Kluyveromyces lactis: one gene and its partners. The protein of the gene in region 1 purifies or fractionates together with the protein of each later gene. This does not show direct contact. Links are inferred from orthologs where the notes say so. Each region holds a gene or a part of one and is shown on either strand. Other genes may lie near its edges. The genes, in order: TIF5, HCR1, FUN12, HSP104 and TIF34.

Region 1 (5,928 bases):
ATTATTTTGCTGAAGTTCTTGCAATTTTCTTACAGCTAATTGAGTTAATTCAGGTTTTTTATTCAGTTTCTGAGATGTCTTCAATACAATACCCCAACCTTTCACGTAGGCTTCTGCCAACTCAACAGATCTCAACGCATTTGATAAACTTGATTGCAAAGCAGCTTCAGGGTCAGAATCTGATTGAGACTTCAAGTAATGCAAATAAGCTAATTGACCAAATGCTTCATAACTGAACGGCACCCCAATTATGACTTCTTCCATGCAATATATTGCTTGACGTAGGTCCCCAGCCTCCTGGTATTCTTGCGAAAGTAACGACCATATTTCTGCATCTAGAGGAAACTTCTCAACCAGATCCAGTAGTTCTTTTACCCATTTTTCTTTACTCATCGAAGGTCTCTCTATCGCAAGTAGCCTTTTCTTCATCTGTACGTAGTCTTCTGAATCAGTAGCTATTTCCAGCTGATTCTTGATCAAATCCTCGATATATTTCTTAGCCGCATCATCGGATCGAGTGACCTGTATTAACATAGAGTGCATCACATGAATTCTTGGAGAATCGTCACCTAGACGATCTGTCACAGTTTTGTACAATGTTTCAGCCTCTGTGTCTTCACCACGAACAAGACAAAGATAAAACAATAATTCGACCATTGAGAAATAACTAATTTCGTCAAGCCCATTTAACCCAGCATCTATCAAAAGTTTCGTTTCCTTATAAGCCAAATCAATTTCTTTAGGTGGCAGAATGGCCCATGCGCCAGTCTTATGGATTGCCAGTAATTTGTTCTTAAGTAAATCCATGATATGAACAAAGTTAGATTTCGACCCTAAGATGTATGTGAGATTCGAGCACAATTTCAACACAGTAAATTACTCACTAAATTCCACGAGCAGTAATTGTATTGAAGGTATTCAAACATTTAACACCACCATACGTATCTCACCCATGTTATACCCTGTAATATGTCTCTTACAGAACCGATGCTTAAACAATCACAGAGCCAAATGAATCGTTGGAGCTAAAGCACGTGACACATGCTCCGTTTCGACATGTATTTTCATATCACCATAAACGACGAAAATTTTTCAGGAATCAAGGCCTCAGTATCTGATTGCCACACGCGAAGAGTTGAAGTTGAACTTCTAAGAGATGAGATGAACTTCTTCCATATACATGATTCAAGAAGGCGTTAATGACCCCGTTTTACAGTCCAATACAGGATCAGTTCGAACTTACTTTTAAAAGTTTTTGTGTTTTCCAGACTTGAAGAACGTCAAAGACACGGTGGTAGCAGAAACAAGTGACTAGAGATTAGTAACAGTAGCCGAAGATGTCAATCAATATTTGCAGAGACAACAATGACCCTTTCTACCGTTATAAAATGCCTCCAATTCAGGCTAAGATTGAAGGTAGAGGTAATGGTATCAAAACTGTTGTTATGAATACCATGGATGTTGCCCGTGCTTTAAACAGACCAGCTCCATACATCATCAAATATTTCGGGTTTGAATTGGGTGCCCAAACTGCTATCAATGTTGAAAATGATCGTTACATTGTCAATGGTGCTCATCAACCAGCCAAATTACAGGACGTATTGGATGGTTTCATCACTAAGTTTGTCCTTTGTGGATCCTGTAAGAATCCTGAAACTGAAATTGTTATCACTAAAGATGGTGATTTGGTTAGAGACTGTAAAGCTTGTGGTAAGAGAACCCCTATGGATTTGAGACATAAGTTGTCCTCGTTCGTCTTAAAGAACCCTCCTGACAGTATGAACGGTTCCAAGAAAAAGAAGAAGGCTGCCACTGCGTCTGCTAATGTCAGAGGTGGTGGTCTTTCTATTAGTGATATCGCTCAAGGTAAATCCCAAGCTGAAGCTGGTGACGATGCCGAAGAAAACGATTCCGATGATGATGAATTGGCCAGACAAATTAATGCCGCTGCCTCTAACTTGGCTACCATTGAAGTCAAGGATGAGGACTGGGCCGTTGATATGTCTGAAGAAGCCATCAGAGCTCGTGCGAAAGAATTACAAGGTGAAGCTGACAAAGAAACTGGCGAATTCTCCAAGTTGGAAGAATTTGGTGAATGGGTACTACATGAAGAAGAACTACCTACCGATATTGAATTATACAAAAAGATTGCAGAACTCGAGCTTCTGGAAGATCCAAAGGTTGCTGCAGTTCTGGCCCAAGTTCTTTTCGATGAAGATATCGTATCGGATATCTCTGAACATACTGCGTTCTTGCAAAAATTATTGAAGGACGAAGACTTCGAAAAGAACTTTTTGGGTGGTATTGAAAGATTCCTTGGACTTGATCACCAAGAATTGATCCCATTACTACCAAAGATCTTGGTCCAATTATACAACAACGACATCATTTCCGAAGAAGAGATTATCAGCTTCGGTACCAAATGCTCTAAGAAGTTTGTACCAAAGGATGTTTCTAAGAAGGTTCGTAGAGCTGCCAAGCCATTCATCACTTGGTTGAAAACTGCCGAAGAAGATGATGAGGATTCGGAATAAAGAAAATCATGATCTTATAAGAAAATGGTCAAAGTTCAAATACTATTCAAATTTTAACCAGATTTTTCGGTGTTTCGTTTTCTATTTATCATCCTAACCATCTCCTTGTTTTGCATTAACAGAATAAATATCATTTTCATTTTATCAAGAGCGAACTAAATCTCTTCAATATTTATCCTTTAGCTCTGTAAAATACTGTATGTATACTATCATATATACGCATATGTTTAATACATTCATGACCTTGCGCATACATCATTAGCGGCTCAAGAATGGCACTGATAGGTGCGCCGTGCCGACCTGCCCTTGTCTTCTTATAACCTATTTATTGTCTTTCAATATTCAGCTGTGATGATCCTTTTCTCTCTTTTGTTTACACTTTCGTGGAAAAAGAAGACACAATTTGAGATCAAATCATATTTACATCCTGAATGGACAAGAAGAATACTAGGTCCTGTCAAAAGAGAAGAATAGGGTGCGAATCTTGTTGGAAGAAGAGTAAAAATACACTTTCATCAGACGGTTTCATTACATGAATGATCTGTAGGTTTGATTTCTATGGCGTACTGTAACAATGAATGATTCCAACCTCTCGTCTGCAATGGATCTTTCATTCCTGTCAGAGGAATCGAGTTTGCAGCAAATAGGCTCTTTGAACACGCCTAAATTGCCCAAAGCAGAAAAGCGTAAACGTGGTAGACCGAGAACTAAACCTGTTGTACCGGTTGAATTAGATGCAAATGGAAATCCAATCAAAAAACAACGAGGACGACCACGAAAGAACCCAACCACAGAAGCTCGTAAAAGCGCCAAAAAAGAACCTATATTGGATGAAAATGGTCTTCCGGTAAAGAAACGGCGAGGAAGGCCTAGAAAATCTCTAATTGATCCAACTAATATATCTTTTACTTCAGAATCTAAGAAGAATACTACCACTGATAATAATAACAATATCCAGGACACATCAGGAGGTATTCCAAAAGCTTCGAGAGCTAAGCATTCTCACAATGTTCTTCCAATTCCAATTCAGCCAAAGAAACGAGGACGACCCAAGAAAACTGAATCGATTGTGAGCGTAAGGACAGAACAATTGCATGAAGATATGAACTACTCAAATGATATGAAACTTAAGATTGAAAAGATCCTACATAAGAAAGATAACTACCCAAATCTAATCTCTTCCAGAGATACCTTTGATCCTAAAAAGTCGTCACACCGGAGTGACGTGAGTGAACTTGAATCTTCCCCGGTTAAAGATAATAGCCAACGAAAAAGTATACATTGTGCGTCAAGTAGTATTGCGGGAGTGACGGACAGCATTTCAGCGTATAGTAGCAAAGGTTCAACATCATTATCATCAGATGACTCTTATAAACCTGAAGTTGACCCGCTCGAAAAAGTACAATCAGATCATCGAGCAGATAAGGGCCGAATAGAGTTTGGTGATAACACAGCATCTGATCAACTTCAAAGAGGCACTGACAGCGCAATTCAGACACAAGCACCTCGGAAAAGAGGAAGACCAAAAAAATTACGAGATGAGACTGCGGAGCCAAAGATAAAAAGACCCAGAGGGCGTCCACCAAAGGACAAAGACAATAAAGATAAAAATCAATCTGCTTCTAACACCGAAAAGTTACCTGAAAATCAATGGACACTAAATGACATTATAAGTTGCAGAATGCAACAAAAGGATCAATTAGAAGCTTCTCCAAAGAAAAAAATAAAACTTGCGAAGACAGCAGCTCAATTAGGGATTAATGACTCCAAGGGTTCCCAGGTGGGAGAAACTTCATTTATGCAATCTGTTGAAAAGAATAAAGATGTTTTCTTAGACTTTAAGAAGAACAAAGAAAAAGCCACAAAACCCAACACAATCTTGGATGACAGTTATGATGTCTTCAGTTTTGACAACAATGGAACGAGCAACTTTGTGATACCTGAAGAGGCGTTCCCTGCTCAGAGCAGTAAAAAGAATAAAACCGAAAAATCAAGCCCAATGAAGCCTTTAAAAGAGCAACTGGAACTTATTGATACTGATATAGCATTCAGCGATGAAAGTGAAAATGATAGTGATTACTCTCCCAATGACAACCAGGACGGAGTTCATTCATCACCTGTTCAAAGTTTACCAGATCGTGAACGAGATTTGCTTCGGCCTAAGCAGAATCCAATAGATGAGCCAGAACTCGCCAATGACGTTTCAAGAGCTCAAAATAGAATGGAACAGGGTGCCGATATTAGCAATGAGCTAGTCGAAAGTCACGCTAACAATTTGGGTGCGGATAACACGGAGCGAAGAACTTCAAACCGATTATCAGATGAATGGTCTTTATCTTTAACATTCCAAGATGTCAACGGGCAAGGAACACCAGATGTATCGCCCTCCAACAAGCCAAAAGTATCTTTCGCACCATTTCCCTCCTCACCAGACGTGGACACTAAAGCTGTCATTAACAATTCTAACCATTCTACGGATCACCCACATCTGGATCAAAAATACCAAGATGCAGAATCAATAACGCAGACCACTCCTATTGAAAGCCTACCAAAATGGAACGTATTACATAACAGTGAGCTAACTTCCTTGAGTGAGGATGTCTTAACACTTAATAAGTATTTCAGCGATCTGTTATTGTACATGAATAGAATTGATGCTTCATTGGCTTCTGATTTAACGGGTGAGCTGACTTTTTTCATAAACAGCATGCCTAATGAGGAGCTTGCCCTGAACTTCAAGAACTGGATTGATCAGAAAGGAAAGGAGATTTTTGAATCTTTTGAAACCACCATTAATACAAAAATAGAGACATTACAACGACAATTCTCAACAGCAAAGGAATTCATACAGCAAATCGATGACGACTCCGTCTTGCTTGAGTTTGCTAATAGGTTTAATATTGACTTCTGACGAAATACGTCAACTACATAAAAACAGAGACACAAACATAGGGGTTTCTACATATATCGATTGACCAAACAACGGCGTCGAAAAATTGTATTAGTATTATTAGTATTATAATTGTTATCATTATCATCGACACTACGATCATATTTCTCCGTGCTAATTTCTTCACTTAACTTGAGTTACTCCTCAATGATTTGATCATCCGGAGTTTCTCTATTCTGTTCGTTTCCGGGAGGTAAGAAGAGCCTCAAATCTATATTATTATCATTGTTATCAGTTTCTTCAGCCACAGTTCCTCCTGGTGGTAATAGCATATTGACACCCATGTCAATATCTCCCTCTCCGTCAGGAAGATCATTAGCAGCCTCTCTGTCCCATGTTTCCCTGGCACGTTGTAAAACCAATTCTCTTTGACGGGTAAGTACTGTCAAACTTTCCTTCACGTAAATTCTCAACACTAAAGCTGTAATCTTAAAATTTCTCATT
Region 2 (5,517 bases), about 1.2 Mb from region 1:
AAATACGTATTCCATCCCTAATAGAACTCGACAGATTCTTTCTGAGCAGCATTATGAGTTGACGCAATTTGAACCTCCATGAAATGCCCAAGGACATCGATCCATTTAATCATCGGGGTCTCATCATTATGATCCGATTGCTGATAATATTACATAACCTATATCAAGTACACATTCAAACCCTCCCTGAGTCTGGGGATCCTATCCCACAAATACCAGTACAGATTGAATCCCACAGAGAATATTAACTGCCACGAATACTGCCATGTATATGTGCGTATATTTTCTTAGCATCTTCAATTAGCAAACTGTCGTCAAACACCGTGTAGTATCGTTTTTTTTTGCTATCAACATTTTGCGTTTGAGAAAGACAGACATACAGAGCAGGAAAAAAGAACAGAAATAGAGCAATCACTTTGCTGCAGAAGGTGGAGAGTCTCACTTTGAAAGACATTCAGGACGGTTGTCAACTTATCCATCGGAATAGTCTATGAAACTTGTAAGAATGAATTTGTGTTACTATGTTGTCGTTTTAGACAATCCGCAGAAAGTTCAGTGAATAATATAATGAATGGTGAACAATGAATCGGATCTCATCTAACTCGTTAGTCACATGATTAGAAATGTGCTGGTTCTTAACTTGGTTAATGTTTATATCTCAGGTTTTTTTAGGCTTTATAGAGTTTTCTAGTTTCTTACGTATGAGTACATTGCGGCTATAAATCTTGCCGAACCTAATTTCTGACTTGCGTCAGTTTTTGATCAGACAGTCCATTTGCACCTTTGATGTAGAGGAACGTGAGGTTAATGATGACTAGTAGTGCTGCTCTTAAATACCAAAGTTATGGTGTTTTATTTTGAATATGATTAACAATAATGACTGGCAGTTTGTATGGATTGAGCGTAATAATTACAGGGAATTTACCTTATAGTCTATTTTTGTTGTTTTTAGGGAAGAGTTCGTCGTCGTATCTGGTATAACATTAGTTAGTATTACCATTTTCATTAGCGTCATTCATTCATTAATGATAGAACCGAGGGTCAGATTAATGTTGATGATCGTTTGGATCAATCTTGAAGATCTTATCTGGATTCAAGATTCTCTTAGGATCCAAAGCGAGCTTCAACTTTCTCATAACTGCAACAGTGTCTTCACCAACTTCTTCCAACAAGTAGTCTCTCTTACCGATACCGACACCGTGTTCACCGGTACAAGTACCTTCAGCATCAATGGCTCTCTTGACCATATTTTCAACAATAGTTTCAGCTGTTTTTCTTTGTTCAGTGTTGTAGATGATGAATGCATGGAAGTTACCATCACCAGCATGACCAACCAAAGAGGTTAATAAACCAGATGCGTTCATTTCTTCCTTGGTAGCATTAATAACATCTGCGAATTTCGAGATTGGAACAGCAACATCGGTTGTCCAAATGTTGGCATCTGGGTTGGTCTTTCTGCCGGTATCAATGGTTGACCAAAGAGCAACTTTTCTAGCTTCCCATAGTTCTAGCTTGGAATCTTCATCAGTAGCAAATTCAAATTTGGTATTGTTGTGTTGAGAAGCAATTTTTTCCACTTCTTTAATGACTTCTTGAATAATCTGTTCAGATCTACCACCAATCTTGAAGAACAAAGTTGGAGATTCGACCCAGTTATCCTTTGAAGTAGCACCACTTTGGTTGATGATTTTCATCATGTTATCATCCAACAATTCCATAGCATTCAATTGAATACCGGCTTGAATCAAATGAGAGGAACAAGATGCAGCATCACTGACAGTTGGGAACGGAACGACAGCGACAGTTTCAAAAGTAGATCTAACATGACATTTAATAGTAGCTTCAGTAACGATACCCAAAGTACCTTCACTACCAATAATTAACCCGTTCAAATTGTAACCAGCAGACGATTTTCTAGGTCTTCTCTTGGTCTTAACAATAGTACCATCAGCCATACACATAGTAATATTAACAACGTTTTCCTTCATGGTACCATAACGATAAGCGTTGGTACCAGAACAAGAATTAGCAATGCAACCGGCGATTTGAGCACCTGGACCAGGGTCACAACCGAACAACAAACCATGATCGTTCAAATATTCGTTCAATTCTTCCCATGGAACACCACCTTGTACCACAACATCCAAATCCTCTTTATTCAATTGAATAATCTTATTCAAATATTTTGAAATATCCAAGACGACACAAGACCCTGGTCTAGTTGGTAGGAAATGCCCTTCCAAAGAGGTACCACCTGAAAATGGGATCACTGGGATAGAGTATTTGTGACAGATTTTCAATAATTTGGAAACATCTTCTGTGTTGCGTGGATACAAAACAATTTCTGGTCTTTGATTAGCTTCAGCATGATGAGAGTTGAAATAGGTATCCGAATGAGCATCCAAATCGTCCTTAGCCACAGTGAAGTTTTCAGGATCGTTTTCTAAGACATCTTTCAATTCAACAAGAGCTTTAGCAAAAGTTTCCTTATCACAGTACTCGGGAGAATCAAGGTCTTCCAATCTAGCAATGGACAAATCACTCACGGACTTTTCCTTCTCGAACTGAGAGCCTAGAGCATATGCAACAAACCCACCACCAATTAAAGAACCACCAAGAACGCTTAAAATGGCGGACGAAAATCCACCGCCGTTATTACCGTTAGAAGACGAATAATGTCTTTTTGCAACGGCAGTGGTCCTAGAACGCAGAACGTCCTTACGTAGTTGCAGCGAACCACGCAAAGCAAAACCGGATCTTCCAACAAACCTGAACATTGAGTTGCGTTTCTGGTCTTTCTTGCACTTTGCGATAACAAGTACACAAAACAGCTGCTAAGTTACCAAGTTTCTCTACCAAGTTGTTACCTTATTATATAGTATATTGATATGCGGAATACAGACGGCGTTCGATTATACATATATATATATATATATATATAAGTACAAGTTCATAGCTGAGAAAAAAAAAAACAGTTCAAACGCGGAATAGGAACAATCATATACCGTCGACTCCACGACTTGGTTCATCCACCCTTGTTTTGATACATATCCGGCTTGCTCTCCTCTGGTCTTCTCTGGCTTTTCTTTGTTGCCGGATTTCCATGATGATTTTTCACTTCGTAGCGTGGGATGTAGCGTGGATCGGATCTTGTTGTACTGGTTTGAGGCAGCACTGGGCCAGTGGAGAGTCAAGAGCGCTCTCAGATTCGGTAGATGAGAGAGAGAAAGAGCGACCGGGCTAGCGAACAAGACTTGGGCAATATTAACAGTTCAATTGTTTACGTTCTATATATGATATGTGATGATGATATGTGATGAGATCTGTTTTTTTTTTCTATTACATGAAATCGTCTTCTCCGAAATCGTCAAAGTTATCGTTACCACCTAGGTCGAAATCGTTATCCTTCTTGAAGGCACCGCCGAGGTTAGCCCTAGTAGCCTTGGCCTTCTTCTTACCGGCACCGCCTGTGGCGGTGCCTCCCTTGACTTTGGCCAAACGAGCTTGTCTTTCTTCTCTTTCTTTATCCTTCATCAATACGTTCAATGTCGCAATGGTTTGTCTGATGTTTTCGACGGTCATTGGTTTGGAAATGTCTCTGATCAAGTCGATGGCTAGTCCACCAGAGTAGTTCAACAAGGATTTGTTGCTTGTCGAGGTGATTGCGGTAGCCAACGCTTTCCTTAATTCTTGGTAATCTTTTTTGGTTTCCAAATCCGAGAACAATGGGTGCGATTGGATTGGGGTATCCTTGGTCAACGCAGCAGGTTGGGCGACAGCTGCAAGCTGTTCTCTTTCACGTTCGGCGCGGGCTCTTGGATGTTCTTCTGCGACGCCAAGACCGCCGAAAAGGTCTGCAGCGTTGTTCAAATCAGATTCCAGTTCAGCCTTTCTCAATAGTTCTTTACGGGTCTTGTCGTCAAGAGTATCGATATCGAGCATGGTGTTCTTTGTAGCAGCTGGTGTAGCAGCTGGTGATGGAGAGGCTTTCTTTGGAGCCTTGGCTGCAGCTGCTGCTGCTGCCTTAGGCTTAGGTTTAGCAGTCTCCTCGTCCTCCCAGGACTCTAGTACCGGCTCATCGTCGTTTTCAGCGAACTCATCATCCCATGAATTCAACACTGGCTTCTCTTTGGAGCCACTTGGCACTGCAAAATCTTCGTCGTCCCAGGACATTGTTGATTGATAATTGATCTCGGTTAGGGTAGAGCTGCTGAAAGCAAGTGTTTATTGATTGTCCTCGTTACAAATTCTTGTCAAGATGCTTATGGGTGGCATTAAATTTCGATTTTTGGGTCTTTTGGGAGCTGTTACCCGGGGCAGTGGTCTTCCTTCCTCCGTCCCTCCCTTCTGCCGCAAAGACTGCTACGTCAAACCATCATATTGCATGTAGAACGAAAATACCCTGCTATAGACCACGATTTTTTGTCTATCCAGAGTTCCACTGGCACCATATAACATGTTAATGATCACTTCCCTTTTAATGGTACCCAATTGACGTATTCATATCCTGTTCTGCCCATTATGACGCTCCAAAATTAATTTATTTTTGATACCTATTTCTCAAAATTAAATAGTTACTTTTTCTGGCGTCACTCATGCACCAGGCTCCTCATCATCCCATACGACCTTCGGTCCCTTATCATCGATTCCTTGACCAACACACAATTAATGATCAACTCTCGATCCGAACCTTTTTTATATATACATGTCAGTATTGAAAACATAAAATGTGCATCCATTTAATAGTTGTTGGTCCAATCTAACCATTGTGATATAGGCTCGTGACAAGTGGACCTAATCTGGAATAGTTGTTTGGCAACGCAATAATAAAGAAAGTATCTTTGGGAGATTATTCAATATATCGGCATGGGTGAATATAGAGTAAGTACTGGAAGAGGAGGCGCAGGAAACATGATAACGTCGAACGAGAAACCTTCACCGAAGGTTGTGACACAGGGTTCCCAGACCCCCAATATACTATCGCCAATTTACTCTACGGGTCGCGGTGGTGCTGGTAATATGAGGAGGAATGTGGACCCGGTTATGACACGCACCGCACAGGATGTTGACGATGACGACGTGATAGACGTGACTTCTTCAAACAATACAGGAACCATCAAAAAGATCAAGTCGAGACGCTTCTCGGAACCTCCAAAGACCATATCGATCGGTAGAGGTGGTGCTGGGAACATACTAAGCCCTAAATCGTCAAGAAAGAAAAGGGATGAGAAGGGCTCTAAGAATTCCTCCACTGGAGACAACGGATCGAGTCACGTGGACGAAAAATCATCAAAGAGTGGGTTCTTCTCCAAATTGAAGAGTCTTTTCAAGTGAATCGCCACCGATCAGCTCTTCTCCTTCCTATCTTTTCATCCCTCACACTTGCATAATGAGACTATATAGTCCTCCTTCTTCTTCCCTTCTCCTTTTTTATTAACGTAACGAAATGAACTTTAAAAAGTAATCAAAAGATACTTCTTCTGTCTTCATGAACATTGGGACACAGACCCTGACAAC
Region 3 (6,886 bases), on another chromosome or scaffold:
CTTTCAATGTATCAATGGACCTTCTAGTGATGTGAGAATACAATGTATCTTTTTCATCAACATGACGACCCCAGATTGGTTGCTGACCGGAAGGATCTTCTAAACGCATTGCAACACCTGCATTGGTTTGACCCTTCTTGACTTCAGTCACAGATTGGTGATTGATTTCCAAGGAAGTGACTCTACCAAGCAACAATGTTATTCTCTCCTTTGTTGCTGGGTCATATTTCACTGCACAGATAGGAGTACCGATCTTCAATGAACCTTCAATGACATCCACACCAATGATCATAGGGCCACGCTTGTTAATGATTTGTAGAGTGTTCAGGACGCATGGGAAGGTAGCGTCACCGATAAACTCAGCACGACGCTTTTCAAGTAGTTCCTTCTGGTAGGCTGTGAAGGCATCGAATAAATGGTAAATAATATCAGCATTGAAAATTTTGATATGTTGTTCTGCAGCATATTGTTCTGCTTCCTTATCAACCTTGACATCAAAGCATAGCATAACCGCTAATTCAGGAGCTTTTTCTAACATAGTACAAGCCTTCATTATATCACGCTTGTAAACAGGACCTAATCCGACAGACATAACAGGAATTTTCATGTCTTTTAAGAAGTCTAATAAAGCTTCTAATGAACCCAATGTAGAAGCTTGAACAACAACACCTCTACCAGAAGTATCCACAGAGTCTAAAAGACCAGTCAAATCTTCCATGACGTCATCCATCATTTCTTCTTCATCATCGTCTGGACCTACAACTAATAATCGGGAACCAGAAACAGCCTTTTCCAAATCATTTGCAGCAATTTTTACACCTAGAGCAGCCTTGACTTCTTTGTGATGTTGATATTCAGACTTCAAACGTAACTCACGTAAGGGTTGAGGTGTCAACAAGGCTCTGATATTCGTCACAATCGGACCGTTCATACCACATAAAACGATTCTGTCACCCTCTCTTAAGTAACCATTAGATAGAATAACATCGATAGTGGTACCGAAACCTTCAACAACCTTCACTTCAAGAATTGTAGCTTCAACGTGAGACAAATATTTCAATTGCTTAGACATTCTCTTTTGAGTCAATTCTAATAGCAACCACAACAAATCAGGAACACCTTCACCTGTAACGGCAGATGTTGGAACAATAGAGACGTATTTGGCTAGGTTGTTGTTTTGGAAATACAATTCTGAGTTCAAACCTTGTTCAGCAAGAGCGACTTTGATGTTGTCAAGTCTAGTTTGGAACTCTTGCTTAACTGCTCGTTCTTGTTTGTCAAAGGAGTCTCTGAAAGAGTTGTTTGGTGTAATTACCCAGTCGTACAATCTATCGATCTTATTCAAGGCAACGATGAAAGGAGCCTTTCTGTCTCTCAATAATCTGATGGATTCAATGGTTTGTTGTTCTAAACCATGCATGATATCAATAACTAAGATGGCGATGTTACACAAAGAGGAACCTCTGGAACGCAAGTTGGTAAAAGATTCGTGACCTGGTGTATCAATGACTAACAAACCTGGGACATCGAAGGTTTGTTCTTCATACTTAGCCATAACTGCGGTTTTTTGTTCAATAGCGTCAATTGGGAAATAAGTGGCACCGATTTGTTGGGTAATACCACCAGCTTCACCGCCTTGAACGTTGGTTTGTCTAATCTTATCTAACAACTTGGTTTTACCAGTATCGACATGACCCAAGATACAGCAGATTGGAGAACGAAGATCTTTCTTTGCTGCTGCTGCAGATCTCTTGGAAGGGATTGGTTGAGAAGCATAGTTTTTGGTAACTTCAGTGGATAATTCCGGAGCTGGAGTAGTAGCATTAGAAGTTTCAGAACCAGAATATTGCTCTTTTTCACTTGTTTCTTCTTTTCCTTCTTGTTCTTCAGGTTCATCGTCAAGAGCCAAATTCTCCCAGTCATCAATCAACGCTTCCTCTTCTTCTTCGACTTCTTGAGTTTCAGTAGCTTTCTTCTTCTCTTCTTCGATTGCCTTTTCGGACTCGATTTGTTCCTTGGTCTTTCTGACTCTTTTACCGTAAACAACCTTCTTTGGTTTTGGATGCTCATCGCCGGATTTTTCTAGACCAGCAACCTTGATGTTACCGGCAGCCAATAGAGCAGCACGTCTGTTTTCAAGCAGTTTCTTTTCCTCCTTTTGTTTCTTAGTTAGAAGTTTACCCTCTGCCTTTAACTTTTCACGCTTAGCTTGTTCTCTCTCACGCTTAGCCTTTCTAGCTTCTTCCTTTTCTTGTTCAGCCTTGGCCAACTTTTCTTCTTCTTCCTTCTCCAATCTCTCTTCTTCTTCCCTGGCCAACCTTTCTTCTTCTTCTAGCTGCTTTTGTAACTCCAATTGACGTTTCAAAGCAGCAAGACCGGCTGGGACCTTCTTCTTTGGTGCAGCCTTTGGTGCCGCACCTTCAGTGGACTTGCCAGCCTCCTTTTCAGCCTTCAGTTTAGAAGTTTGTTCAGCATGAAGTTTCTTGTTGTTTTCCTTCTGCGCTTGTTGCTGAGCCTTCTTCTTTGCGGCTTGTTCCCTCTTCTTCTCCTTCTCCTTCTCCTTCTTTTCCTTTTCCTTTTCCTTCTTGGACTTCAAGACTGGCTTCTTAGTATCCTCGTCTTCCTTCTTGTCCAGCTTCTTCTTAGATTTCTTCAAAGTGGACATAAAATCTTCCTCAATGGCAGATGCATCGGCAACTTCGGTTTCACCACTTGGCTCAACAGAACCATCTATCGAGGGTTCTACTGAAGATTCTTGAGGAACATCTTCCTCATACTCTTCGTCCCAGTAATTCTGTTGATTCTTCTTTGATTTTTTCGCCATCTTGAACTACTCTTTCGGATACAAAGGTTCTACTTTTACAGTTCTTCCGAAATCTTATTATGATAGACAGCAAACAAAGTGTAAAAGAGGGTTATAACAAGTAAAGAGATAATGTAAAATCCTTTTAATTGATCTTACGCAAAACAATCTTTCAAATAGTTTTAAGTTGTGAGAAAAACCTGTACTAAAAAATAAAAAACTGATGAAAAACTTCAAGTTCATGATTATACGTACCTCGATGGAAAGAAAAAAATAACATACTAGATTACCCTGTCTTTGGTGAGGTGCGCCCAAAATTCATCTTTCAGGGGCCAGAAAGGTCCCATTAGCCTTATTTTCGGGGTGAAGACCGGTCGATGCCATTCAGCATCGCTATTTACGATCGGCGTTGAAGATGTATAAAATATCACCTTGGACGGCTTGAAAAAAATTGACAGCTTCATCTTTGTCAACAGTAGGAAGTTCTACAGATATTCACAATCTCATCGCTTAGGATTAATGATATTAGAGTTTCATTATAGTTTGGTTACAGAGGCCAAAATCAGTTAAACGGTTGGAATCGATAGGTATCAGTCAGTATTCCACTGAGGTTGGCATCAAATTATAAAAAAAGGATTTATTTTGAAGAATTTCCTGATCAATATCTGAATTGAAATAAAAGATGTCTACGACAGTAGAGAAGATTAAGGCCATCGAAGATGAGATGGCCCGTACCCAAAAGAATAAGGCCACTTCTTTTCATTTGGGTCAGTTGAAAGCTAAGCTAGCGAAACTTAGAAGAGAGTTATTGCAGGCTGCTTCAAGCGGTAGTGGTGGTGGTGCCGGTGTTGGTTTCGATGTGGCCAGGACCGGTGTTGCTTCAGTCGGATTTGTTGGGTTCCCCTCAGTGGGTAAGAGTACTTTACTTTCTAAGCTGACTGGTACAGAATCTGAGGCTGCTGAGTACGAGTTTACCACTTTAGTTACGGTTCCAGGTGTCATCAAATATAAGGGTGCTAAGATTCAAATGTTGGATTTGCCGGGTATCATTGACGGTGCTAAAGATGGCCGTGGTCGTGGTAAACAAGTTATCGCTGTGGCCAGAACTTGTAATCTACTATTTATTGTTTTGGACGTTAATAAACCATTGCATCATAAACAAATCATTGAAAAGGAATTGGAAGGTGTTGGTATCCGTTTGAACAAGCAACCTCCAGACATTTTAATCAAGAAAAAGGAAAAAGGTGGTATCTCCATTACAAATACAGTACCATTGACGCATCTAGGCCCGGACGAAATTAGAGCTGTTATGAGTGAATATAGAATCAACAGTGCGGAGCTTGCTTTCAGATGTGATGCCACCGTCGATGATTTGATTGATGTACTTGAAGCTCCATCAAGAAGGTATATGCCAGCTATTTATGTGCTAAACAAGATAGATTCTTTGTCATTAGAAGAATTGGAACTTTTATACAGAATTCCAAATGCAGTTCCAATCTCTTCTGGTAAGGAATGGAATTTGGATGAACTACTAGAAGTTATGTGGGATAGACTAAACTTAGTCCGTGTTTATACTAAGCCAAAGGGTACGATGCCTGATTTCACAGACCCAGTGGTGTTAAGGTCGGATAGGTGTACCGTAAGAGATTTCTGTAACCAAATTCACAAATCTTTAGTTGAGGACTTCAGAAATGCTTTAGTGTACGGCAGCAGTGTGAAGCATCAACCTCAATATGTGGGGCTTAATCACACATTAGAAGATGAAGATGTTGTCACAATTTTGAAGAAATGAATACAGGCTACTTTTTTTTTCTCATTCTTCTCACCGTCATCATAGTTTTTAGCATTTTCATCGCATTTTCATGTAGTGTTATCCATTTTATTTAACAGCTTTCCATAGACGGATCTGGTTAGATTATCGTAAACGTTCATTACTCAGGTTGCCATAACTTCTGTTAAACATTAACTCAATACTGATTTGTCGTGTTATGTTTAAATTCATAAATAGTAGTAAATATATGATATTTTGTGAAATCGATAGCAACGGATACATATGGCCTTTTTATATTGGCCAACATATATGTTAAGATATAAAAGCAATGATGGATGCTGATGGTGATATGGAAAGAAAGAATGAATGAATGAAACTTCGGTTATTTGACGAAGTGAATATTATTCTATTAGAAATGAATGTGAATAGTATTGGTGGAATCCTCAAAATCACAGCAGTATTTTAATGAATCCTTTTAAGGTGCGATATAGTACAGCTTGAATTAACAAACAAGGAAATCTGGAGGAAAATGCAGCCTACTGATGAGAGTGTATTCCATTGAATAACGGATAAATTCGCAGAGAAATAAATCCCTTATTTATTTAACGCCATTCTTTTTAGTCGTGGAGTTGCGTATTGCCTTGCGTTGTATGCAGAACTGTTATCAGGCTCAGGAGTTTGGAAATCAGAAGAATAACTGCAGTCGCTCTCAGAAAATGGAGTTGATGCTATAGATTCCATTGCATCATTAGCAGCATCTGAATATGGTTTATTTCCGAAAGATATATCTCCATCTTCTGCCTCATCCTCCTCAAACTGCTCGCGTCTTTTTGTCGCAAAGTTTGTTATTTCAGTCGAAGAGCCGTTGGTTGACCCCGGCCTCCACGTCAGTTCTTTGGATTTAACACGCTCATGGTAAGCCACGAGACCGCTACACCAGTAAATGTTATCCTCTTTCATATTGTTAACGGTAGGTCTCAAGTTTTTAACGTAACTAAAAGCATCCACAACATTGATAGATGGGTTCTGTTTGAGCATATGACTGATCAAAAGAATCACCAAATTCTCATCATTCCCATTCGAAGAGAAGACAAGAATGTTCCCCATCTTTGCAAGCTTGAACAAGGTAATCAAATCATTGAAACATTCAAACTTGTGCACACCATCAGCAGTATAAATATTGGTGGTGTACTCCGAAACAGACCTGTACAAATGCGATTGTAGAGGTTGGGCAGCGCATTCTTCTGATAGAGAAACGTGTTGTATAAGCGTTTTCAAGTCCACAGAATGCTTATTATTGAATTCCAGGATGTTACTCATGGTATCATCACTGAATCTGGTACGGTCAAATTCTTTATCGAGACAGCATATCATAAATTGGTCCAACTGTATGTTCCTGGCATACTCCATTGCACGTTCAACAGGAATACCAACACTGATGAAAAACTTGATATCATTCTTACTCAAGAAGTCATACTGTGATAAAGTGTTCAAGGGTCCGAAGAACACATTGTTACTCAACTGTTGGGGTTTCATCTGGTTCAACGTATGAGCCAATGCATAATTATTATGGTGAGACATGTCTAGTTGCTTTTTTCCATAAAGAATATCGGACCACAGATTGTAAGTAGGGTGAAAGATTGAGACAGAGAGCAAAACACAGGCTAGTTGTTACCAATACTCGAATTATACAAATGAGGTTCAATGCCAGTTAGTAAGCTCACTCCGCTCTTGTCCTGAGTCAAAGCCTTACGTGAGTCGCATTGATGAGGTTAGTATTCTTTTTTGCCAAAAGATCAAAAATCTGAAAAATAGAAAAATGAATTTTTCAAGCTCTAAAGGCTTATTCTAGTAAAGTAATGGAAATGGTGTAAGCTCGGTCAAAGGCTTTAATGCTGGTACAACGGAGGCGGAATGAGAACAAAAACAACGACAAAAATCAGACAATCAGATAATAATGTAAAGCTGAAAGCTGATTGTAAGTGCATGTTTAATTCGTCGAAGCATCGTTTGTTTTACTGTATGCCTTTTTTTTTTTCATTCCTCCATTTTCTTGTGACGCTTTCCAAGACATAAATGAAAGGCGACACTTTGTGTAATAAAAGATTCACCAGTACAAAGTGTTTACTTGTCAGATTTTGGCCTGTTGTCCATCCCTTGACACAGGGTATTTTTACAAACATAAGCTAGTGGTTTAATAGCAACGTATAGCGTAGATTTGTAACCAACCTAATTTCGCAGTAAAATGAGAAAACAATTGTCTCATATAGTTAAGTAGGAAAGGATAGCTTTTGTAATATGATAATCAAATG
Region 4 (7,044 bases), on another chromosome or scaffold:
TTGAATTTCCTGATTTAGAATAAAAAAAAGTCGATTACCTCCAGTACGCGTTTGGTATGGAAAGAAACCCTGGCAACATGACAATTATGAGTTTACCCACAGTGGCATTATTGACTGTTTTTTCTTTTTAACTTGCATGCAAATACGGCACATTGTTCATACTCAAAACGGTGTTGGAAAAATGCAACGGCAGAGTTGGGAAAAAACGGGTTGCTCTCCTTATATGCAAAACAAATCCGCACTTGAACTAGTTAGCGTGGCACAGGTAAATAAATAATAATTATAGTATCTGTTAGCACAATAGGAATTGTGGTAACCATGGCAATTGTAAGACATAATTCAATCAATCAATAAAATAGTAAATCGAACCAAACAAAGTACCGGTAAATCACCCTCAAGTTCCTGTACTCTTAATAAGCCAGAAACATTTCAATCTTGTAATCCGAACAACAGTTACTGCCAAGATCCGGCCTCCTTCATTCTGTAGATAAAAAAAACCAAGGAGAACACATGTCCTTTTGCATACAAACTAAAAAATAGGCACCTGAGATGAATCTACGAAATGAAACGAATTTACAGTGCTGGATTTTCTTCGCTTCTGCATTCTTTCTTAGAGGCCGATAAGCGTTTTTCCGTTCCTTCCCTTCCGACGCGTTTGCGTCTTATCCCACACATTGGTACGTGTGTCTTCGAATTATAGAGAGGCTCGTATCCAAATGCGAGCGTACGCTTTAGTCCATCTGATTGCCTGCTAATTTTTGACATGTAATAATGGAAGCCTTTCAGGGAAAATGATCTACGTCTATCTCTTTACCAAGCATGTTTAGCGATGCCCAGAACGAAAGGTATATGGGATGTTACTCAGCCAATAACTCCACGGAACGAGGGAAGAAGAGGAAAAAAGCCGAAGATTAACATTCGTGAGGAAAGAAGCATGATTTGAAGAAAGACCAATCAAATTCTTTTGAATCATGTGCAAAATTGGACTTACTGACTTGGGAAATCAGTGAAAAAGGCTGAAAGAACCCTGCCCATCTAAGTAACATGTAATACAAACTCAGCCAGAATGCTTAGTTAGTACGCTTGTATGAATAACAGCAGCACCATTGGTTTGCACCTCTTATGAACATGAAAACATGTAAAAGTCAAAATATTATACTAAAGAAAGTGAAAAAAATATGTACTTTACACTATATATGATGGTACTGTTGAACTGAAATTTTATTACTGAGTGAGTTTGTTTGTATGTTTTCTTTTTGTAATTCATTTTAGATCAGTCTAGGTCTAAGTCGTCATCGTCGTCCAAGTCCAAATCCATGTCTTCATCACCAATTTCTGATGAAGCTGGGTGATTTGGTAAAACTTCTAAATGAGATCCATCGGCACCCACTTCTACATTGACAATTTCTTTGTCTTTGATCTCACCCTTCAAGATATGGATTGCCATTGGGTTCAAAATCTCGGTTTGAATTAATCTGTTCAATGGCCTAGCACCCATATCCTCCGAGTAACCATTCTTGGTCAAGAAATCCCGAGCTGGTGGTGAAACGTTGATCTTGTAATTCTTATCATTATCCGCAAATTGCTTCTCCAAGTCTTTGATTCTGATATCAACAATTTTGTGAATGGCCTTGTGAGAAAGCTTGTTGAATACCACGATACTTGAGATTCTATTCAAGAATTCTGGTCTGAAATGTGCTTTAACGGCACTCATCACCAACTCTTTGGAACCCTCAGTAACCTTTGATCCAGTCTGAGCATTGATAAATTGGGCACCCAAATTAGAAGTCATAATTACAATACAGTTCGAACAGTCAATTGTCTTACCTTGACCACTAGTGATTCTGCCGTCATCTAACATTTGCAAAAGAACGGTCAAGACATCAGGGTGGGCCTTTTCGACTTCATCAAATAACAACACACTGTATGGTCTTCTCTGTAATTGATTAGTTAAGAAACCACCTTCTTGGTAACCAATGTAACCGGCAGTAGTACCTAATAATTTCGAAACTGAATGTTTCTCCATCAATTCTGAACAATCGATTCTGACCATAGCTTTTTCATCATTAAACAAGAAGGATGCGACTTTCTTAGCTAATTCAGTCTTACCGGAACCAGATAAACCTAGGAATAAGAAAGATGCCGGTTGATTAGGGTTAGACAAACCAGATCTAGAAAGTCTGACAGCGTTAGAAACGGCTTTCACAGCCTCCATTTGACCCACAACTTGTTGCGATAACTCACGTTCCATATGGATCAACTTTGTGTTTTCAGATTCAGTTAGTTTATTCACTGGAATACCGGTCATTCTAGCGGCAGTCTCGGCAATAACCTCGCTGTTAACCACGTTCTTCACCATTGTTTCAGAACCTTCCCTGGATTCTTCTTCAGCAACTTTTTGTTCCAATTCCTCAATACGTTTCTTGATATCCGGAATAGCAAAGTATTTCAAATCAGCTGCGGTAGCATTATCGTAACGACGTTCGGCATCCATGCATTTGTTTTCCAATTCATCGAGCTTCTTTTTGGCTTGTCTTAGTTGTTCATGAGAATCCACTTCCTGTTGGTAACGCTGTCTCATTGGTTCCAATTCCTCAATTAATGAAGCTTCCTTTTGTCTGGCTTGTTGTAGCCTTTCTTTTGTCGTTGGATCCGTTTCTTCATCTCTTTCTAATGCCTTGATTTCAACCTGTAGTAAATGCAATTCGCGCTCTTTATTGTCTAATTCTTCGGGCTTAGAATCACGAGCAACAGCGACACCGGCACATGAAATATCAACCAAGTCAATAGCAGAATCAGGTAATCTTCTGTATGGCAAGTACCTCTTAGCTAGTTGAGCTGCAGACACTAGGGCACTATCTAGAATTCTAACACCATGATGTATTTCATACTTTGGCTGTAAACCTCTCAAAATAGCTACCGTTTGCCTTGTCGTTGGTTCAGGGACATCAATCTTCTGGAATCTTCTTTCGAAAGCACCATCCTTCTCGACCAAAGATCTATATTCGTTAGTGGTAGTGGCACCAATTACCTTCAAGCCACCACGAGATAAGGCTGGTTTCAAAATATTAGCAGCATTGGCAGAATCATCTACACCTTGGCCCATCAACATATGAATCTCATCGATGAATAATATAATTAAAGTCTTTGATTCCTCGATTTCTTTCAAGACACCTTTTAATCTTTCCTCGAAATCACCTTTATATTTGGCACCAGCCGTCAATGCAGCAAGATCCAAAGAAAATAATTTGCAACCCTGTAGAATTTGTGGAACATCATCGTCGATAATTCTTTGAGCAACACCTTCTACAATGGCAGTCTTACCAATACCTGGCTCACCGATCAAACATGGATTTGACTTGATTCTTCTAGCAAGAACAGTGATGGCAGTTCTAATTTCTTCTTCTCTACCGATAACAGGATCCAACTTACCTGCTCTAGCCTGTTCAGTCATATCGATCGCATACTTCTTCAAATATTCCCATTTTTCATTTGTATCAGCGTCTCTTGAATCAATTCGTTGATTGCCTCTCAATTCGAGCATCTGCTGCTTCACAGATTCTATGTCAATGGAACACTCCTTAAAAATGCTTTGAGTTGTTGCATCTTTGAACAAAGCAGTCAATATATGATCTTGACCGACGAATGAATCTTTTTGCTGTTTCCTAATTTCTGAAGTATCTTTCAAGACCTGCCCGAAAGCATAACTTGGCTGAATTTCTAATGGTGCGGGCGTCTGAGATGGAGTCCTGACTAGGTTTCTGTTGATGGCCCTTTTCAAAGGTTCATAATCATATTTCGCTAATTCCACCAAGTTTTGTAAGAATCCAACAGAACCATCCTCGTTTGGCTCAACAAATGCAGCAAGTAAGTGAATTGGTTGTAACTGAGCATGTCTGTGATCCTGAGCCAATTTCTGGGCCAAACGGATAATTTCGTTGGCCTTATTTGTAAATTGTGTTTCGTCGTTCATTGTAGTAATATCTTCTTTCTAGACAATAAACTGTTGATGCGTTTGATGATCCTGACAATTGTTGTTTATTTCTATCAGATAGACCACTATTGATACAATTGATGTAATTGAATTCCAAAGCAGGAAGCACTCAACAAATGATTCTTCGGATGGTCTCCCTTTATATACCTCTTCACTACGCTTATATTCTATAAACTTTTTTTTTCACCTATTCTTTCTATAAGCATCTATCAAAAGATACCCTAAAATCACCTTATTAAGAAAACTAATAGCAAAGCAAAATATACCTCAACCCCTATCTCCCGGTACCAGTCCCAGCTTTAGTATTGCCCAATTCACAGACAAACAAAGCTCTAACAACTACATTACTTTTCCAGTATAAACCAGTACATTCTCGAATAATTCACTCACTCAAGGTTAAGCTTTTAAATTACCGTTGGGACTGACGTTCATGGCTACGTAAAATAGAAAATTGTAAGTACGTCCTTATTGTTAGTTGAATACTAGATCAAACAACCAGCTATCCCAGCATGTTGCTTACGGCAATGTAGAAGCTGTGTGGGGATTGTAAAGCTACTTAAAATTCACTCTGCTCTAAGCTAGAGTCCGGAACCGTGATAGCTAGAACATTACCGGATTTTTCTGGAAGACTCTCGAAAGTGCATGTCCACAAAGAAAACCGAAGAAAAAAACTGGAACAAGTGGATCACCATCACGTGATAGATTTTGAAATTTAACGCTAGGTTTTTGGAACGCACTTCTGTTTCGATGTCAGGCGTCAGTTTTGTAATTCACGTTAATTAAGACAATATCATTGGCATTGTGTCAAGTTTTGGATAGCAACATATTATTATTTTCCTTGTAAGATCTACATATGTATAACTAGATATTCCAGCTCATGTGCGTGATGATCTTTCGTTTTTGAATCAAATTAACAAGGACATCATGAAAGCAATAATGGAGCCTATGGACGAAGTTCTCTTCCAATTATAAGCATCATTTAGGGCAGTAGAATGATCAGTCTCAGTGCCATTGTAGTGACCGTCATCTGTTTTCCATTCAGTGTCCGTTTCGTTCTTTACCTCTTTGTAACCTTCCTTCAATGCAGCAGAGGTAGTGTGATGTGGTTTCTTGGTGAAACTCGTCTCAACACGTTTTTCTTCAGTCACTGAAGGTTCAGCTTCGGAGTATTCATCATCATCATCATGTTTTTTGTTCTTCTTGTCACTATGTTTTTTGTTCTTCTTATCTTCCTTTTGCTTTTTCTCTTCTTCCTTCTTAGCCTTTTTCTTCTCTTTCTTGGTTTTTTTATCTTCTTTTGGCTTCTCTTCCTCAGACTTTTCGTCCTTTGATGTGTCGTCCTTTGGATCTTTTTCCTTTGGTTTGTCTTCCTTTGGTTCGTCTTCCTTTGGTTCGTCTTCCTTTGGTTCGTCTTCCTTTGGTTTGTCTTCCTTTGGTTCGTCTTCCTTTGGTTCGTCCTCCTTTAGTTTGTCTTCCTTTGGTGGTTTTGGAGATGGCTTCAATTTCTCACATGGAACAATGTCAGCGCATGCATATCTTGTACCATTAGAATAATGTAAGGTAATTGATCTACCTCCAACAAAAGCGGGATCACCCTCGATCAATGATAAGTATGGATCCAAATATTCCGTCTCGTAATAACTGTAGTCGATGTTACCGTACTTACCACTTAAGTCACCAACTTCACATTTGGAGATATCATTACCGCATGGCACCTGCCCATTGTAAGGGTTCAAGTGTTCTTTTGTAGACTCACAAGTTGGATCGGATGGATCAACTGGTTTTTCGTGGATGTGATATTGAAGCTTTGGCTCCAAAGTCGATATTCTGACGTTTACCTTGGCAATTCCATCAAGACTAGTGAAAGTGTGATGTATCCACCAACCTTATCGGAGCCAACCTGAGGAAATTCTGCAAGGTAGCAGGCTTTCTCTGGATTTTCATAAACAACTGGCGCAGACTCTCTATCAGCACCTGCTAGTGCTATTGGAAGAGCGACTAAAATTGGAATTAGCTTTTTTTGTTGCATGACAGATATATTCTTTTAAGTGTAATTGAATAAAGACTTTGGTAAGTTTGTTTTCCTGGACTTGTTTAAAAAACCGGTTGGAATACGAGTGCTTATTTAAAAAGTTCCTTAGAGAGTTTCTAGGTGGTAATAATACTGTAAAGTAGAATAAGAGAAGTGCCTTTTGTGACGGTAAAAAGAGAAGTAATTTTATCCTATACAAAGAGGTTTATATATTTAAAATATTTCAGCGTGACAAGGAATGGGGTACAAATACAGAATCAGAGAGCCATGTCAGAAAATAGGTAAGAGAAACCTTTGTGTCACTGCACATCTTGGTTTCTGTGCTCAGTGTATATATTTTTATTTTGAATTTTATTCTGTCGCGGGACGTGCACGTCCATTAATTTTGTTAAAGTACCTTCGAGTATTTTTTTTAATATTGGGACAGCAAATATATCCTTGGACAGCGAAATTAATAGAGCTCTCCCATTAGTGTAATCACAACCGCAACGTCCGTTTAATTAAAGTAACGTAGCTAGAATATGGTTTGATAGAATAAATATGATGTTAAAAAAGTTATAAACGAGCTACATCAGGTAGCATTTTTTGTGACCAATAAATATACATATAGAATTATAATGATGATTGTAATTGTGTTTAAGGGTATTATTGGTGTGGAAGAAAGAGATTGAATGAGGGAGGATTTCTTAGGGTGTATCGCATTGAACAAATGAATAAAAGAATAAATTCAAGCAATTCTCCTCCGGGGGATATCATCAGCGTCCCGGACGCTTTATGCCCCCGTACGTACCCCAAATGGAAAGAATACCTGCTAGTAAAAAAGATCAGGATCCGATGCTATTGTATAAATAAATGTCGTTAGAATGAGTTTTCCAAACTAAACACCTTGTAGTAAGAGGTAGCAAACCTATCAGAAGAATAATACGTGGGGTGAGTGTTGTGTTAGTTGCGTCAACTGTTAGTTTCTTTATTTTTCTCCAGAGGCAATCCGGATGAAAGCGACAACAGTCAATGCTCC
Region 5 (5,807 bases), on another chromosome or scaffold:
TGCCACAAACTACACTAACAGGTAAAGGAAAAATATCCAAATTAACCAGCAGCAAATCTTTCAAAAGTAATCTATGGTATTAGAAAAGTTCTTGATTGTCAAGTAATATGTCTTAGAGTAAAGAACCGTGAGTTTCAATAGTGCTAGCCGCTGTATTTTTTTTAGTATTGATTAATCCAATTAAGCGCAGAATAAACCACAATAGAAAACGTATTAGAAATCAAGCTATATGACAAATGAAAGATCAGAACACAACCAGATATCTCTTGAGAGCTATCTACGGTTATAAATAAAGCCCAACAGATCAAGCTGAAAGTCCATCTTCGAAAATAAAGTATCAAAGTATAGCTCTTGGCATTTCAAGTTTATTCACCTCTTTTTAACATATATATATATATATATATATATATGTATATATATACATAAATAATCGTAGCAGACATTTAAGTAGGAATGTTTTCTATGTACGTTAAAAGCCAATGAGCACCTCTTTTTACCTCACTGAGAAAACAGACTAGAGAAAAAGTTATGTTAGTCATGTGATATCCCTATTCGCTACCTAAAGGTTTTCTGTTTTCGGTCTTAATGGATGTTTACTACGTGAGGGTCGAGGAACAGTTCCAGAATAAGACTCCAGCATAATACGAAAACAAAAAGTAAGGTTTGAAATTCAGGAACTGCGGCAACACCTGAATTAGAGGAACCTTCTTTGGCAGGGAGAGCCCTTGACCGGCCCAGTGTAAATTGGAGCAGCTCAGATTAAATAGTCGCTTTATCAAGGAAATATTGTGAATTATTCGGTTGTTTTACGTTCTACTACCAAATTGAAAAGTAACAGTAGATGTTTGACATTTTCATGCAAGATACTTTTACACATCGAATAGTTTTACGCAAGGATCTCTCACTTTTATGTAGAATTGACGTTAATGAATTAAGATACAAATTCTATAAATCACCGTAAATCACGTTTGATCTCCTCTAGATTTCAACCGTTCGTATTTTCGTTTTCAATTGTACCGCTTATGGAATTGACAAGTTTCTCGAAGAGAAAACTATGGAATTGGAATGGAAATTATAAATTGAAGTATTTTTGAAATGAGATGATGATATTAGTTAATCAACTTACGCAATAAAACTGCCATTGGATTGCGTAAAGGAAACAGAGACAGAGCATCTCACTGGTAGGGCCATACTCCTCCACACTTTAACTAGTTGTGTTGTTCTTTTGCTCCCTTTTTTTTGTATTTTCTTTAGGCTTTCTCTAAGAACCGTATACGATCAAACCTGAACAATGGCAAGAGGCAATCAGCGTGAGCTGGCAAGACAGAAGAACCTTAAAAAACAACAAGAAAGCGGTAAAAACCAAAAGAAACAAGGTGATCCCAAGAAACGTATGGAATCCGATGCAGAAATCCTGAGGCAAAAACAACAAGCTGCAAATGAAAGAAAGGAAAAGGAAAGACTTGAGAAACTGGCAGCAGAGAAGAGAAGGTAAGTACTTACATCGATAGAAAACCTTTACGTTTACTCTCAACGAAGTATGCTACTGAAGTTTTAAAGATCTTTTCATACGTCTTACACATTTTAGCTGACGGGCTCACATATGATGGGACGTTTCTTCTAAAAGTTTGTGTCTGAAGGTTAGGTTATTTTACATTAATTTACATGGGTAATTGAATGTACATATAATTATCTAGCAAAACCGTTTCCGCATTAATCCTAGCAATATAAGCAATGAATGAAAACATTAGTTATTAACAACGATGAATCCAATAGCCGTGGATCACTGTTTTTGGGGTAAACGGACACATCTTTGCAGAGTTCGCAATGGAAGAACTCTGGTATGTAAAATAATATGCAACTAATGATGTTTAGTTATTGGTATACTAATATTGAATGATGAAAAACGGGAGCGTCAATAGGTTATCTAGTGCCAGAATAGAGTTGTGAAAAGTATGGATAATGTACACTGGTGTCATCAGATTTGTATCGATGGAAGAAAAAGAGATGTGTGATATGAGATGAATGACCAAGTTTATTCTTGCTTTTGCAGTTGTTGCCTTCTTTCCACTTCAAATGTCTTTTCCACGTCGTATTTGAAATCGAAGTATGATTTATCGAAATGATGTAAACGGATGTAACCATCTTCACCGCCAGATGCATATGATGTACCAGTTGGAGAAACGGCGACGTAATTCAAAGGACCGAAATGACCCTTAACTCTGCCAATTTCATCTTGGAATACCTTGTGGTAAATTCTGGCTTCGAACTTACCTTCACGAGCACTAGTAGTTGTGACATCCTTAGCATCTTGACCACCACCCAAGATTACAAATTCTTTGAGAGGAGTAATAGATGCACTATTTAATGGACAATCAGCCTTGTATGTTTTTAGAACTTCAAAAGTGTCGACATCCACCAAAGAAGCGACACTGTCTCTGGATGAAGTGATAAAGTAAGTTCTGTCTGGAGAGAATTGGATATCTTTGATGCTCTTTTCGTGGATCTTCTTTGCTTGAACGAATTCCCCGTTTTCACCGTAGTAAGCACTGATTTGACCATCTTCATGACCTGCTATGATGTACTTACCATTGTAGGACCAAGATGCAACGAACACCTTGGTAGCTTGCTCGATGGTTGTAATTTCGTAGTCTGGTTCCTCCTTCACATTCACGATTTCACCGTTTTCGTTTCTGATCAAAGAGTAAACAACAATGGAACCAATGTGACCCATAACGGCATCAAGTACAATCAAAAGTTTGCTACCGTCTGGAGAAAATTCGACTCTCAAAACTGGACTTCTGGTAGAGACAGAATGGACTGCTACACCTGTAGCAACTTTCCAGATCTTGAAACAGAAATCAGCACCACCAGTCAACGCATAAGTTGTGCTTTCATCAACATCAATAGACCAGATAGTACCAGAATGATCATCTAGAGTACCTAATCTTTCACCGTTGATAGCGTACCAGATAGAGGCAACACTATCTTTGGAGCAAGCAAAAACTAAGTCACCATCACGGTTGAACTTAACTTGCGTTAATGGACGTTCATGACCCTTCAAAACAATTGGTCTCATCTTTTCAATATTTTATACTTCTGAGTTCGATCAGAATCTGCTATTGCTGTTGGTTCCGAATAATCCTTGAACCAGTACTGAAGCTGCTCTAAGCTTTTTCTTGAAAATATATTGTTAATCCCACTGTGTATTTCGAATTTTTTTTCACTAATTCATCAATTTCTTTCACTTTTTCATTTTCTAAAGCTTCTTCCTCTGTGATAATACGCTCTCTGGCTTTACTTACGCTTGGAAAATTTTACTGATAAAAGAAATCTGTTAAAGGTAGGGTAATGAGGAAAATAGCATCCCAAGTAGAAGTACTGTGTCACTTGGTGATGATAAACTCTCAGAGTGTGTCCATACGGATCTCAGAACGAGATTCCATGACATATTATGGGTACTGGTTTGAAACCTTTGGTTTTTGCTGCACTAGTATAAGTATAAGTATATAGATATATCAATGTATAGTTGGCTTCACATGAAAGGATCGCATTGTCTAACAAACATGCTCGACAGGCGCATTGTCGTCAACGAACTCTCCTAGTTCACTCTTCAACTTTCTATCAAATAACTCAAACATAAAACCCAAACATGCTTTTGTCACTGCGGAATCGAATCTCCCCTTGCTGAATTCGTCTCTGATAAATGCATGTTGAGCACCGTTGATTTCTAAAAATGTGACAGACTTATCCTTCACTGCATTTCTAATTTGATCTCTGCCTTCCCATGGCACATGAGTATCTTTGGTACCAAAAATCAAGAAACATTCCTGGTCCTTTTTCCAATTGGCTGTAACCTTTTCCAATGAATCGTCATTCTTGCCCAAACCTAAAGAGTGAGAGTGAATATCAGTGGGGAAGAAACATGTTGTAGCCTTGATTCTGGAGTCAAGTTGAGCTCTGAAGGCCAAATGTCCACCTAAGCACATGCCAGTTGCACCAACTCTTCCATTCCATTGTGGTAGGTTTTCTAGTACATCAAGGCACAACGTAACATCTTCATCATACGATTCTAAGGGTTTTTCAATCTTGAATTTGTTACCTAGATCAGTACCCTCAGTATCATACGCCAAGGGTGTAGAATCTACAAAATTATGGTATGAAGATGGTAAAATGGCAATGTAACCTTCTGCAGCAATCGTTTGAGCGAATCTCAAAACAGGTCCAGTAACCTGATAAATTTCAGAGAAGACTAACACAGCAGGGAATTTAGCATTTGGATAGCCCTTAACGGTAGGCTTCACGATATGTATTCTGATTTCAGAATCGAAAGATGTTGGTAAATCCTGGTGACACTGTTCGATAAGCATTGTTTCAAATCAGCTGTGCTTGGTCTCCATTGTCTGATGATGGTGTTTTTACATGTTCAGATTTTTCTATCAAGAAGACGGGAAATAGATATTTATGTGTATTGACATTTAGAAAACAATCCATCTGATGAGATCGAAAAGGATACAAAGAAAAGAAAGCTATACTTGCCATTGTCATTGAATAGAGGATAGACAACCTGATGAGAACGCAATGCGTTGGTACTACACAAAAGGGATCACAATGCAGGCTAAAAGCCATAGAGGGTGAGAAGTTCTGTAGACATCATAGTACCCAAAACAACGGAACCTCTATTGCAACTAAAGCACCCCATATGCCGCATGATGCCCCAGAATGCGTTGGTACCACACGAAAGGGATCAAAATGCAAGCTAAAAGCCATAGAGGGTGGAAAGTTCTGTAGACATCATATTAACCAAAACAACGGAACCTCCAGCCCAACCAAAACACCCTATATACCGGAAGATACCCCAGAATACATCTACATATATACTTACGCAACGTTACATGAGAATGCTGTCGTGGAAAAGAAGAATAGGAAAGAGATTACATGGTTAGTAACCGACAATAGTAAGATGAAACCCAGTAAGAATCAAGCATTGATCCTACGTAACAACCGCTTCGATCCCTGGCAGCACAATAAAGACGAAATTCTGATCAAAATAGGTATGACAAGAAGAAGTGATGTTTCTAAACGAATTAATGAATGGCAAAAACAGTGCAAACGAGACATTATACTAATAACGCCCGAAATAGTTCGTCAATGGATCGTCTCCTCCACTACAAAACCCAAGAGCATAAATTCAATGTCGAATGTCATTCAGAAGTTATGTCGTTTGGCATTAAACAACCACAGTAACATTGTAAAACATACTACTATCACCAGCACCACCATTACTGACACAGGCAGATCAAGAAATAAATCTGACAGATGCTTTACAGAAAACGGATTCCGCTGTAAAGATTCAGGTCACGTGGAGCGAGAAATCCATGAATGGCTGTGGAAAGAGTACGGGAAGGGTAACATCATCTGCGAAGTGTGTCAAAAAACACACAGAGAATGGGTAAAAGTTCCGATCGGACAGATGGAATATATTGTAAATACCATCGACCGCATTTGTTCTGATAGTTTTTCTCTAAAACGGACTTGACAAAGGGCGTTTTCGTACTATGATGGCCTGGCCCTTTATTTCATTTTCTCTCTTTTACTACACTGTTCTGTAGGTGACATGTTTGGCAAATTAAAACCGTTCAAGGGGTCTTCTTAATTAATTACAGAAGAAAAATAGTGCTTTACGCTTCAAGCCTAAGAAAGCATTCTATAACGAGCTATGTATATGATACGTTTTGATATCTACAGATATACGAGAACAGAGGGTAAACATAGAAGATATCGTCGGAGCGGAACGCGAGGTTGGC

The links.
Region 2: the proteins of TIF5 (region 1) and HCR1 purify together in Saccharomyces cerevisiae (affinity purification with mass spectrometry; 5 studies listed by BioGRID, with this or other methods). This does not show direct contact. The link is inferred for Kluyveromyces lactis from reciprocal best matches to the Saccharomyces cerevisiae genes TIF5 and HCR1.
Region 3: the proteins of TIF5 (region 1) and FUN12 purify together in Saccharomyces cerevisiae (affinity purification with mass spectrometry, with the first as the bait; 3 studies listed by BioGRID). This does not show direct contact. The link is inferred for Kluyveromyces lactis from reciprocal best matches to the Saccharomyces cerevisiae genes TIF5 and FUN12.
Region 4: the proteins of TIF5 (region 1) and HSP104 purify together in Saccharomyces cerevisiae (affinity purification with mass spectrometry; 3 studies listed by BioGRID, with this or other methods). This does not show direct contact. The link is inferred for Kluyveromyces lactis from reciprocal best matches to the Saccharomyces cerevisiae genes TIF5 and HSP104.
Region 5: the proteins of TIF5 (region 1) and TIF34 purify together in Saccharomyces cerevisiae (affinity purification with western blotting; 13 studies listed by BioGRID, with this or other methods). This does not show direct contact. The link is inferred for Kluyveromyces lactis from reciprocal best matches to the Saccharomyces cerevisiae genes TIF5 and TIF34.

Annotation. Positions count from the first base shown.
Region 1 is NC_006041.1:549,292-555,219, reverse strand, and holds TIF5 (translation initiation factor eIF5), read left to right. Parts: upstream 1-1,337; coding exon 1,338-2,534; downstream 2,535-5,928. Other genes in the region: EMC2 (Emc2p), read right to left, coding at 1-807; BIR1 (survivin), read left to right, coding at 3,109-5,445; SCF ubiquitin ligase complex subunit GRR1, read right to left, coding at 5,622-5,928. UniProt on the Saccharomyces cerevisiae protein: Catalyzes the hydrolysis of GTP bound to the 40S ribosomal initiation complex (40S.mRNA.Met-tRNA[F].eIF-2.GTP) with the subsequent joining of a 60S ribosomal subunit resulting in the release of eIF-2 and the guanine nucleotide.
Region 2 is NC_006041.1:1,750,127-1,755,643, reverse strand, and holds HCR1 (translation initiation factor eIF3 core subunit j), read right to left. Parts: upstream 4,174-5,517; coding exon 3,340-4,173; downstream 1-3,339. Other genes in the region: DLD1 (D-lactate dehydrogenase), read right to left, coding at 1,047-2,777; PAR32 (Par32p), read left to right, coding at 4,867-5,334. UniProt on the Saccharomyces cerevisiae protein: Component of the eukaryotic translation initiation factor 3 (eIF-3) complex, which is involved in protein synthesis of a specialized repertoire of mRNAs and, together with other initiation factors, stimulates binding of mRNA and methionyl-tRNAi to the 40S ribosome.
Region 3 is NC_006042.1:2,170,605-2,177,490, forward strand, and holds the start of FUN12 (translation initiation factor eIF5B), read right to left. Parts: upstream 2,825-6,886; coding exon 1-2,824. Other genes in the region: GTP-binding protein RBG1, read left to right, coding at 3,486-4,595; KLLA0_F23309g (uncharacterized protein), read right to left, coding at 5,169-6,155; KLLA0_F23331g (uncharacterized protein), read left to right, coding at 6,873-6,886. UniProt on the Saccharomyces cerevisiae protein: Plays a role in translation initiation. Translational GTPase that catalyzes the joining of the 40S and 60S subunits to form the 80S initiation complex with the initiator methionine-tRNA in the P-site base paired to the start codon.
Region 4 is NC_006042.1:1,665,211-1,672,254, reverse strand, and holds HSP104 (chaperone ATPase HSP104), read right to left. Parts: upstream 3,974-7,044; coding exon 1,274-3,973; downstream 1-1,273. UniProt on the Saccharomyces cerevisiae protein: Required, in concert with Hsp40 (YDJ1) and Hsp70 (SSA1) and small Hsps (HSP26), for the dissociation, resolubilization and refolding of aggregates of damaged proteins after heat or other environmental stresses.
Region 5 is NC_006042.1:694,865-700,671, reverse strand, and holds TIF34 (translation initiation factor eIF3 subunit i), read right to left. Parts: upstream 3,080-5,807; coding exon 2,036-3,079; downstream 1-2,035. Other genes in the region: KLLA0_F07425g (uncharacterized protein), read left to right, coding at 1,292-1,495; KLLA0_F07381g (carboxymethylenebutenolidase), read right to left, coding at 3,558-4,370; KLLA0_F07359g (uncharacterized protein), read left to right, coding at 4,571-5,539. UniProt on the Saccharomyces cerevisiae protein: Component of the eukaryotic translation initiation factor 3 (eIF-3) complex, which is involved in protein synthesis of a specialized repertoire of mRNAs and, together with other initiation factors, stimulates binding of mRNA and methionyl-tRNAi to the 40S ribosome.